Linked DNA regions of Arabidopsis thaliana. The protein of the gene in region 1 interacts with the protein of each later gene in a pairwise test. Each region holds a gene or a part of one and is shown on either strand. Other genes may lie near its edges.

Region 1 (5,233 bases):
AGGAGGAGCAGGGTGAGAAGCGACGTCGGATTTGTGGAGATGAATCTGCAGAGGAATTGCTCCTTCCCATACATACTTGACCGCTTCCTTCGCCATTCTCTTCCCCGTCACACCTTCTCACGCTCGCTCGCTTCACAAAAAAAACTCAGCTTTCAAAACGACGCTGTTTCTGTATGACGTCATCTTCTCTTGCGTCTTTATGTGGTATTAATAAGGCGTACGTTAGACACTGCTTAATCTGTTGGTGGCTAACGTGAAAGGGTGTTAACCGGTCTAATTTGGTCTGGTCAAATTCTATCAAAATTTCAGGTTAGAGTTGGTTTCCGAATCGGTTCGGTTATTTGTTGGGTTTGAACTTTGAACACACACTTGTTCAGTTGGTGGTAACCTCACTGTTTTTCTTCTTTGCCTTCATTTCAAAGCAAACTCTTTACCAAACCTAATTTAATCGGAGATATTGAAGAGAGACACCTGAAACTTGCTTTTGTTGAACCATCAATTAAGAAAGATCTCATAATCATTAGATTTAACTGTATAAATTGTACACGAGTTTTACAGTTACAAACTTTTGCAGAAAATTTTAGCCTAGAGAACAAACACCTCAAGAGAAAACAATGAAACAACAACAAAAATTACATTGATGAAAACTTAGAAAGTCGAATGAATAGTAAATTTAAAGTCTCTTCTTTAGGGTACGTAAGAAAATGTGTTATAAGTGGAGATGAATCTCATGCTCTTCTTCTTCTGTTACCATCTTTCTCTTCTTGTATGGACCAAATCCTCTTGAATTTGACTCGGAGTTTGTTCTTCTGAGCTCAGAAAATGCAGACCTCTCACTTGGTTTAAACTCCCATTGACATAGCATTGTTTCGGGTTCTGTGGTCTTTTCCGTGTGTCCCGTATCATCCACCGAACCAGTGTTTGATCCAGTCGATGATCCTTCGTTTTGGACAGCCTTTCCTGAATCCAAACATCTATTTTCCACATCTTCTTGCTTAAGAGGGACTTGTATCCAGCAGCTCAAGAGTTCTTCTTGTGAGTTTCTTATTATGGGTAGTGTCTTGGATGATGAGAGTTTCCGTGGTAATGGCTGAATTGGGGATTTACAATATGTTGAAGTTGTTAGAGAAGAGGACATGCCTGAATCAGATACCAAAACTGTCTTCCCAAAGAGTTTAAGACTTTGCTTCGTTGGTTCCTTGATCGAGCTCTCCCTGTTTAAGAGTCTCTCACTAGGAAACAACTCCAGCTTCTGTACAAATTGATTAAACCAAGAATATTAAGCATTAAGCATCTAACAGCAGGTATTGCTGTTAAGTATAAATTCGGTTTTGTTTATGTCAAGTACCAGAGTCTCAAGCTCTTCAGGTGCATTTGCAGTGGTTGTAAGAGCAGCTGGTGGTGATGCAGAAGAAACTGGGGACAAGCTTCGATTGGGTGAACTCGAATCAAGGGAACACAATGCTTCTGATCCAACAGTGGACAACACAGAGGTTGGAGATTGAGTATCACGTTCTGAGGGAGAAACCGATCTACTTGTTTGATCTGCCTCGTTCCCAAACTTACGAGGGTACGGATGCGCTGGCTTTCTCTTGGGACGAGGAGGAGGTATTACAATCGGCTCTACTGAGCTCCCATCACCTCCAGTTGCTTCTCGAGCAACCTGTGTGAATACAACAGAACAAAGCCAAGTCAGAACACAAGTCTCCAAACAATGTATGTATAATGATTCCTTATTTATGCAGAACTTAGGTTTGCTACAGAGATTAGACTGATACTTTCTTTGAACAAGGGTAAAGATATAATAGCAAATAAGTGTATAAACCTTAGAGAAAAACTTCTGAGCATGGCTTCGAATCTGAACTGCGGTCTTTGAGCCCACATGTTCTGTTAGTGAAACAAACATATATTTTTGAGGGTCCAGGTAAGGCCATAACTCAGTAGCAAGAGATATTACTAAATCATTAATTTACCTTCTATTCGTCTCCAAGCTCGCCCGTATAATTTCAAGGCTTCAACAAACTTCTTGTGCTCTTCATCTGTCCATCTCTCTCTCTCTTTTGTTATCGTGTATGGCTTCCGTACCTAAGTAAGAAAAGATGAACTGAGCCACAGATCTTCACTTTACATAACAATATTTGACATTTGATGTTAAAAGAAACAAACCTTGGGTGCATAGTCATTTCCCCCAAAACTTTGGTCATTGAATTGTATCTGCTTGTCTGCAGTTTCTTCATCTCTATTCCTCAAAGAAGCGTTGGTACCCTAAAGCCATCATCAAGCAAAACGACTTTAGGAAACATCATTTTAAGGACTATGACACAAAGTGGCATTGGATTATTTACTTTCTTCTTCAGTTTCTCAATGAACATTCATTCACAAAGTCCAACTAATTAAACTCGATTTACATATCCTAATCACAAAATTCCAACACAGTCGATTCCATCTCAAGGATTCAAATGAATGTAGTTGCAACACACAAATCTAGAGAGAACTTATAGCTCAAAAGAAACAAGAGTCTGCAAATGAATTGCAACGAACTTGCTTTAACTCTAAGCTTTATTACTTAAATGTCCGTATACAGTATTTTAAACTCATAGATTCATTTGAGACCAGACCTGAATAAAGCAGAAACAAAACAAAAAAAGTGGATAAAAATCAAATTTTGAGACCAGACCTGAACATTTGCAGTCAACGGAGACGACGCCATAACTTCCCGGATTAAGATCTCGGCGGAGGAAAACAAAAAAAAACTCGAAAGGTGTGGAACACAGAAAAGGAAACACCAAGATAAATTCGCGAATCTAGACTTGAAAAAATCAGCTTAATTTCCTCTGTTCTCCGTCTGTTTCTATAGATCCCATAAATTGATTCGGTTTACTTAGGCAACAACAAACGATTTGCTTCTGAAATCAGAACCAATCTAAGCTTCCACCTTCCGGAAAAAAAACTTCCAGCAAACCAGAGATTTCTTATGTTCGATAAAGGAAAAGAGAAAAAAACTCTCGCTGGAAATCTTGCCGCAAATAAGGATAAGAAGAAGGTCGGAAATGAAACTCTCAGAGAAACTCCGAGAAGTTTTGGTAGCCGGAGTAAAGAAAAAGACAAGCTTTCTGATTCGGCGGAAGAAGAAGAAAACAGAGAGAAAGAAGAAGAAGAGAAGAGTTTGGGGTCTGTGAAGGAGGAAGAAGGGAATTAGGGGGGTGAGAAAATAGGGAAGACAAAAAGGAGGGTGATGCCACGTCAGCTTCTGCTATGTGCGCTTTTTCCCAATTTTTAAAAAATAAAAATAATAATTCTTATTGGTTTTCCATGGAACGCTCGAGAAACAGATGGAAAATCTTGTGGCTCACGTTCAATGTCCATCTTTGCCACGTGTCGCTCTTTCTCATATTCTTCATCTTCTTTTTTTGCAACAAAATTTGTACTAGATTTATTCATTTATCTCTTTGAAAAATCAAATATTTAATTTTTTAAAATGAATCTACTTGTTTTAAAACAGTTAGATTTGGTACTTCGATTATCACTGTATGTATTTATTTAATTCCCCTACTTTTCCTTTCCTTTTTTGACATCATTTCAATTGGATAATCTTTTAATATAAAATATCAGGAAATATAATATTTATGTAACAAAAAAGATTTTGCTGGACGGAGAAATGTGAGCCACCAGAAGATACTTTTAAAGGAAAATATGGAAAGGCGTACTCTCGAGAGTATGACTTCTTAGCTTACTCGCTTTTCATTGGTTCCACTACATGAGATAAAAATGTAAATTTGCGGGATAAATTCATTTTCTTTTCTTAACTATATCTCTATTGATCCATATATGGGTGGACATATTCCAAAATTTATGATTGGTTCTTTGGATCCGGATCCATAGGATTTGTTTGCGGAACCATCCAAATCCATATCTATCAAAAATACTTCAAAATAATTAAAACAGTAATATATAAAACTATAATAAATAAAAAGTTAAAAATATATTTTGATTTATTTACATAAACTCTTTATGAAAATATTTATTAGGGTATTTTAAAAAGCTACATATGAAAACATATCCGAAGTGGATATCTTAATCAAAATCAAATTATTCGAATTCGAAAACTCTTAACATTTTATTTTTGGACCAGATCAGAAGATTTTATTATACACTTTGTCCAATCTTAGAAAACATAGTCTATCCATTTTTTATTTTGTGGGGTTCTACTCTTTTTTCTCCATTCTTCCATATATGAACACAATATTTGATAGTAAATTTATATATAAATTATAACCATCATAATATCTAAATTCAGATTTTAAAAAAGATTTCTGTCTAAACACATTTTTGCAGGACACTAAAATGGTTTATTTTATGAAATGAGATCCACAAAATGGGTTATTCAAATTTGGACTGATATTAAGATTTGTTGATGATGCTTCTATACTAGCAATAGCAAGCCTCATACAAATGCAATTGATAACGTATCCTACCATGATTCCGATATACATATAAAATTTGGACCTCTAAATTTTCCTATATTCTTTTTCATGTCAAACTTATATGTTTAGTTGGGAAAAATATTGCACAGAATTTTACATAGTTGAAATGGTTTTGAATCACAATCTAAATAAATGAAATTCCAAAATCAAGTGAAAGTAGAATGAGATACTATTTTTGGTTCTTTTTCGTTTTGTCGTTGTCTTTGTTTCATATTTTACGAAAAAACGAAAACCATAAGTTAAATATCTTCTGCCTCTATATAAAAACATGGTGGGGGTCTATCCATAACGTAAGTCTACGTATACATACCATATAATATAATATATACAGATACGAATCTATCTATGATATTTATAATTAGTTTCAACTTTCTCGAATTAATATGATTATCCATCGTCCAGGTCGTCATCAATTTTCACAAATGTGTAGATATTTTATTGAAATCATTGTTAAGCACATAATTTAATATACTCCTCAAATTGTAAAAGTCATCCTCGGTGGAAGTGAAAGTAATTACACTTTAATTTATAATATAGTACTAATACTAATAATTAGTGAATGTCAGTGCACTTTTCTCCATGTCACTGATTCTTATTTTAGCCGTCTGTTCTACAGAAACTTGACATGTGGAATGACGAGAAGGAGGGTTCTAGCCACTAGTTTTCTTTTTATTTGTTTCTTATTCATTTTATTCACGTTCACTGATAATACAACAAAATTTCTCAGCCACAAGAATTCCTTCTCGTTC
Region 2 (2,922 bases), on another chromosome or scaffold:
CTGAGATGCTATGCTCGCCAAGGAAGACTTCCTATTTTCTCTTCTCATTTCACCTCTTCTTTCCTACTTTACTCTCCATACTCTCCAAATCAACGTGAGACACAATCGTGTGGTTTTTTCTTTGAGTCTGTCATTTGCATTTAGAACAAATGATGATTACAATTTTTTGTTATAAAAAGAGATAAACGTTTGCAAAAATATTTCATCTAAAAAAAAGGTGCCTAGGTCTACTTAATCATAATTCTACTTCTACATTAACGTCATTGCTTTATCTAAATTTCAGCACTGAATCCATGCACTAGGATCGGGTCAACAAGGTCCATGAACTTCATTATGTGTAAGAATCCAGAAGCTGAGAACCCTGAAGTTTCTCTGGACACAACCCGGAAGATTAGTGGAAAGTGGAGGGCGTGGATGAACAACTCTTTGGCCTTAATGCTTCCATTACTCAAACAAATTTCCCATGGACAATCAGCAACAATCGACTAAATCTTGTTTGTTTTATAGATATGTTCGCTCAACGTCAAGTTTTAACGAATATTTCGAACGAGTAATCACTAGAAAAATAAATATTCTAGTTTCAAACTAACAATTTGTCGTTCTCACTAATCGAACACAATGTAATTAAGTTATAAGAACTAAATTATTTTATTTAATACCAATGGCAGAGAAAAAAAAGTTAAGAAAAAAACACAAGCATCGAAGGGTTGACTAAAGTCTGAAGAGCTTATCACCCTTGACGACAGGGTTTTGTTTTGCTAAGACGTCAATGGCGGCAGATTTATAATCCGATGGACATGAATGCTCTTCCGGGTAACGGTGAGACGCGAAGAATAAGTGGCCACATCTACAGTGAAACCCTAGCAACCCCACCTTCTTCTTGCACGCTTTGCATCTACTACTACTCTTCTTATAATCTTATCCTTCTTCTTCACCACAACCGCCTTTACTACCGAGTACCGTCGCCTCTTGCGCCGTGACCTCTTCAGCGGCTTTCGTGTTGACGTTGAAAGTGGCCAAGTATCTGGCAGACTCGTCCTTTAAGAAATCGTTGTAGCACTTAGAACAGAGGTTCTTCGTCTGTGACGTGCTGAAGAAGCCACACCCCCTAATGCATAAAGAAGGTTCTCCCGTCATTGTCTTCTTGTTTTGGTACAATCGTGTTATGTTTGCAACGTTTTGTGTACTTTGGCTTGGCCTTCTTATTTGTTTTTGCTCTTCACCATCTAATCTTATGTCTCAAAACTTTGTATGACTTGAGTTTTTATAGAGCTGTTGAAAGCCTTCCTCTGCCAGTATTCAGGTATTTTATGTCATATATAAATTAGGTTTTTATCTTCAAAATTCCTATTTTATTTATGGACTTGTCTATAAATAGATTCATAGTGCAATATTGATTAGGACTGATCCAATTCTTAGTGAAAAAACATAAAACATTATCCTTTGAAATTAATAAATATTATAGTTTTGGCTCCGTCAAAATCGAGTAATAAAATTATTACTCAGTTGCTTATTTTAGCCATCTAAAAGTACGCATCGCAAAGGTAACAGAGAGACGAGAGACGAGACCGTGAGCTCTGAACAATGCAGGATGCGAAGACCAACGGGTAAGTTGATTCAATGGAAACGTACATCGCTTGCATTAAAGGCCTCTCTCCATTTTTCTGATTGCCTCAGCACGTTTCTCCTCCCTGAGATGAATTCAACGATTCTCATTAGCAAAACCCATAAAAAGCTTTATGTTTTAAAGATACAAATGTTAGAAGACAAGAAACCGGGAGAAGTCTGAAACCTGCAGCTTTTGGGGTTCGGTTTTGTCTCCATTGTTGTTAGACTTAGAATTGGCTTCTACACGTTTCCCTTTGAATGAGAAATTGAATCCAGAAGCAGTAGCAGTGGAGGTTGATACATGAGCAGACCCTCCAAAACGTTTTGAAGAAAAATCCATGCGTTCGATCATTCGTGCAACACCAGCTATTCCTGCATTCATCTCACGTTGCACTCCTTTGCTCAATTCTTTCACTGAGTTATTGCGAGCAAGTAGCTTCTCTTTAAGACCTTGTTTACTTTTAGAGATCGATTCCTTGTACCTGGAGGCATGCATGTATGTCCCAGTCAGTTTTTATAACCAATTTCTGAACAAATGAAGAGGAATTGAGATAGCCATACTTTGCAGAAGCAGCAGCTAGTTTCGATTTAATGGCTTCCGGAAGCGAGGATGCTTCAGGTGATTTTGGACTTTGAGATGAACGAGATGGAGAAGGGCCAGGAGAGATTCTGATGACAGATACAAGAAAAGATGAAGATATATTACATATGGTTTAGGTAAGTTCTAAACAATTTAAAGGCTTGACCAATTCTCCAAGAAGTAGCTGCATAATAAAGAGACATGGTCTAGAATTCCAGAGCCATCTAAATTATTTATCAGTAGACGATAATCCCAGTAACTAAGCGAAACAGGAAGTATAAGAGCATCTGCATTGTGCAGCTCAAGCAAATGGAAACCATACAAATCATGAAAGCTGGTTATAGAGACAGCACAAGCAAATGGAAAGCGAATAAATCATGAAAGCTCGTTATCAATAAACCAGACTTGATTATGTGTATGTCAATACCTGGATCCGTTATTGCTATCTGCAGGAATGGAAGAATGACCAGAGACGGGAGATGGAGTCATTGAGCCAGGACTTGGACAAGGGTTTGAGTTTTGATGTTCAACATGGGAAATAGCAGAGAGACGATAAAGATTGACCAAATCAGTAGGATGAATCGTAGTGGGATCGCTGGACGAAACAAGACTAGAGGATATTTGACCATCCCTTCTGCGAAGCAAACAACGTCTATGTGCAGCTTCAGTAAGATGCCTCAAGAATTGTTCATCAAAGCTGCTAAACTGTGATTCCTCCTGGAAACATTATCAAG
Region 3 (3,243 bases), on another chromosome or scaffold:
TTTACTGGTTAGAAGACCTTGGGAATTTTTCAGTTATAGAGGTAAGAGTTTTAAGGCTACCAAATTCAGATACAAAACACCTTATATTCCTTGACATTATAAGTCTTTAAACAAATAAGTGCTACTAATCTATCTTTCATTGTTTGTTTTGTTTTTGTTTGGACAAGTATCCTGTTGCTCCGTGGACTATGGAAGCTGTCCTAGAGTATATAAAGCAGAGCTATGACAATCCTCCTGTCTACATTCTTGAGAATGGTCAATCTCTTCTATGATTAATTTATTCGTCTCTCCCTCATGTTTTTGATTTGGACTTAAAATGTCATATACAAACAGGTACACCGATGACGCAACACAAGGATACACATAGGGTGGAATACATGAATGCTTACATTGGTGGTGTGCTCAAATCCATAAGGTAAGTAAAGTTTTTTTATTGCATCTTTTCTTCTCTTATCTTGTTCGTGTAATTAAGGAAAAGGACATTGCTACGTGTAGGAATGGATCAGACACTAGAGGCTATTTTGTATGGTCATTTATGGATTTATTCGAGCTTATAGGGCGGTACGATTATGGTTATGGATTGTACTCTGTAAATTTCAGTGATCCACATCGCAAGAGATCTCCTAGACTCTCTGCTCATTGGTACTCTGATTTTCTCAAGGGCAAAACTTCTTTTCTTGATTCCAAAGGCATCAAGGAATTGCAGAGCAACTTCTCTTCTTCCTCTTAGTACTGTGATGAAATAACTCTTATGTTCTACTGAATTTAGACTACTTGTCATGAGAGCCACTTCTTTTTTTCTATAAATTCTAAATTAAACTAGTTTAGTAACTTTACACGACAAAATAATGAGAAATCACAGATGCTGAATACAAGAATTGCCCGTTTTTAAATGCTAAAAAGAAATTCGTACCCAGGCCTAAGCATGACATCAAGTTCAAGCTAGCATTGTATCAAAAAACCATATTACAGAACCATACAAACACTTGAATAGTTAGTAACTCTTAGCAAAGTTGTTTTTTACACAAAAGCATGCTAATCCGCATCAAAAAAGAGACACAAAAGAGCAGCTTCAAATTCATATACCATCCATTGTTAAGGCTGCATTTCCACATTAAAAAGAACAAAAGCGCAGCTTCCTACCTACATGTGAAAATCATAACAAAGACTGATCAGAAACTTAAGTATGTAAGTACTAAGCTAACAATCTAAACTCTAAAGCAAAATAGTTATACAAAAAAAAAAAACTCATTAATTTACCTGTTTGTCCCCCGTTTGGTTATGTTGATAAAGTTGGGATATTTTTTTCTTCAAAAAAAAAAGATTTCTACATCAAAATTTAAGAAACGACATTATTCTTACTGATCTTTAAGATCCGATAAAAGGAAAAAAAAAAACTTTATTCTTAACAAAAAAATGAGAAACAAGGATCAATTTTTCAAATATCATATAATTATCTTTTTTCTTTCTTATTCTCAATTAATAAATGTAATGTTGAATTTTGAGAATAATTTATAGTTAAAGATAAGTATATAACTTAGTAAAATATATCCTTCTACATAATCAGTTTGTTAAAAAAAAATCTACAAATTAGAAACTCCATCTAAATACGAGCTTCACAGATTGTTTCACAGAGAAAACAAAACTTTGGCTTCCTTCTCTCCTTGGTTCGTGTAAGTTGAATGTTTTTTTTTATTTTAAATTCGTGTTTCTTCTCTTCCGTTTTGCGAAGTTGATAATTTTGTTATAATCTTATATGAATATTTTTCAGGAAACATGGCTCAAGTTTGTCACACATGTAGACATGTAACAGCCGTGATCCATTGTGTTACAGAAGCTCTTAACTTCTGCCTTACATGTGACAACCTTCGCCATCATAATAACATACATGCAGAACACGTACGTTACCAACTTTGCGATAACTGCTCGATGTATCCGTCTATACTTTTCTGTTATGAGGACGGGATGGTTCTTTGTCAATCATGTTATTCGCACCATTACAATTGTGCCACTAATGGCCATCAAACTCAAGTCGTCTTCGCTAACATGAATAATCAACACCATGATCATGCACATATGCCTCATGTGGTTCACCATAACAATAACAATAATCATCAGCAGCAGCATGTGGGTGGTCACCAAAGAAGAGCAGAGATGTTTGAGAGGAGCTGCCACGGGGATAACAATTGCGAGAGATGGATGTTTGCAATGAGATGTGAGTTATGCGTAGCTTCGAATTCAAATGCTGTTGTTTATTGTCCTACACACAACCAGATTCTATGCGATAGTTGCGACCGGATGATTCACAGTCACGAGGACGCGGTGCCGCCGCATTCGAGGTGTAAGCTTTGCGTAATCTGCAAGAGACCTTCTCGCCGTTTTCTCATTGGCGGCTATCAGTTTAATTTCCCACCGGTTCATCCTCCTGCGGCAGAGGGGATTCCAGTTACGCCCCCAACAGAACTACCTCAACAAGATATTAATTATGATTATCTAGATGATGTTGATGATTTTTCTTGGTTTGGTAGGTGAATAGAAAATCGTCTTCTTTAGCTTTTTATTTATGTGTGTTTCTTAGAGTTTTCGTTAGGGGTTTAATTCTTGGTGTTATAATTGCTTCTGGATTTGAAAAAGAAAAGAAGAAGAAAAAAAAAACAATCAGTTGGATTTAATATGTTAGAAGAAAATAAAATGTCAAAACTAACTCCAATTTGTTCGAGGATGGAAGATATCATATCTTGATGTATGTATATCTCATCATTTAACTAGAAACTATCTAGAAACCACAATTACCGAAAAAACATAAAACAATTTTGCTAAAATGTTAAGAACACAAATTAATTTGATTAACAATCGATGCTTAAGGGGTTTATAGGAATTAAATAATATTTTTTTTTCAACAATAAAATTAAATTTCACTTTGCGATTTTAATTTTATTTAAGAAAGTCAAGAACCAACTCCAATATTTCCGGGGATGTGATTTTCTCAATAAAATCGTCTAATTATCTTGATTTTTGATGTTGTTGTTGTACTTTACGTGAATATCTCACAATTAGTAAGCAGAGTAGAAGATTTTGATTAGTATGACGACAAAAAATAGTACAAATAAAATTTACATGACCTTTTTTGTGTTAAAAAAAGTTACATGATGTTCTGCAAGAAAATATGCTTGTATAATAAATAATTTTTATTAATATTTTATTTCTGACTATTTTCTTCAATAAGAGAAAACATAGTCATTT

What was found. Proteins that work in one complex are often made in the same cells at the same time.
Region 2: the proteins of RVE1 (region 1) and AT4G14225 interact in a two-hybrid assay, tested with the Arabidopsis thaliana proteins (one large-scale study listed by BioGRID).
Region 3: the proteins of RVE1 (region 1) and BBX26 interact in a two-hybrid assay, tested with the Arabidopsis thaliana proteins (one large-scale study listed by BioGRID).

Annotation. Positions count from the first base shown.
Region 1 is NC_003076.8:5,689,726-5,694,958, forward strand, and holds RVE1 (Homeodomain-like superfamily protein), read right to left. Parts: upstream 3,268-5,233; 5' UTR 3,200-3,267; coding exon of another isoform or gene 2,975-3,199; 5' UTR 2,711-2,974; coding exon 2,678-2,710; intron 2,266-2,677; coding exon 2,167-2,265; intron 2,086-2,166; coding exon 1,974-2,085; exon of another isoform or gene 1,907-1,973; coding exon of another isoform or gene 1,888-1,906; coding exon 1,826-1,887; intron 1,664-1,825; coding exon 1,349-1,663; intron 1,253-1,348; coding exon 710-1,252; 3' UTR 501-709; downstream 1-500. Other genes in the region: autophagy protein Apg5 family, read right to left, coding at 1-96; AT5G17305 (uncharacterized protein), read left to right, coding at 2,975-3,199. UniProt on the Arabidopsis thaliana protein: Morning-phased transcription factor integrating the circadian clock and auxin pathways. Binds to the evening element (EE) of promoters. Does not act within the central clock, but regulates free auxin levels in a time-of-day specific manner.
Region 2 is NC_003075.7:8,196,992-8,199,913, reverse strand, and holds AT4G14225 (A20/AN1-like zinc finger family protein), read right to left. Parts: upstream 1,138-2,922; coding exon 936-1,137; intron 888-935; coding exon 712-887; downstream 1-711. Other genes in the region: AT4G14226 (uncharacterized protein), read left to right, coding at 322-489; RHF1A (RING-H2 group F1A), read right to left, coding at 1,674-1,691, 1,793-2,090, 2,170-2,277, 2,616-2,905. UniProt on the Arabidopsis thaliana protein: May be involved in environmental stress response.
Region 3 is NC_003070.9:22,216,366-22,219,608, reverse strand, and holds BBX26 (B-box zinc finger family protein), read left to right. Parts: upstream 1-1,776; coding exon 1,777-2,532; downstream 2,533-3,243.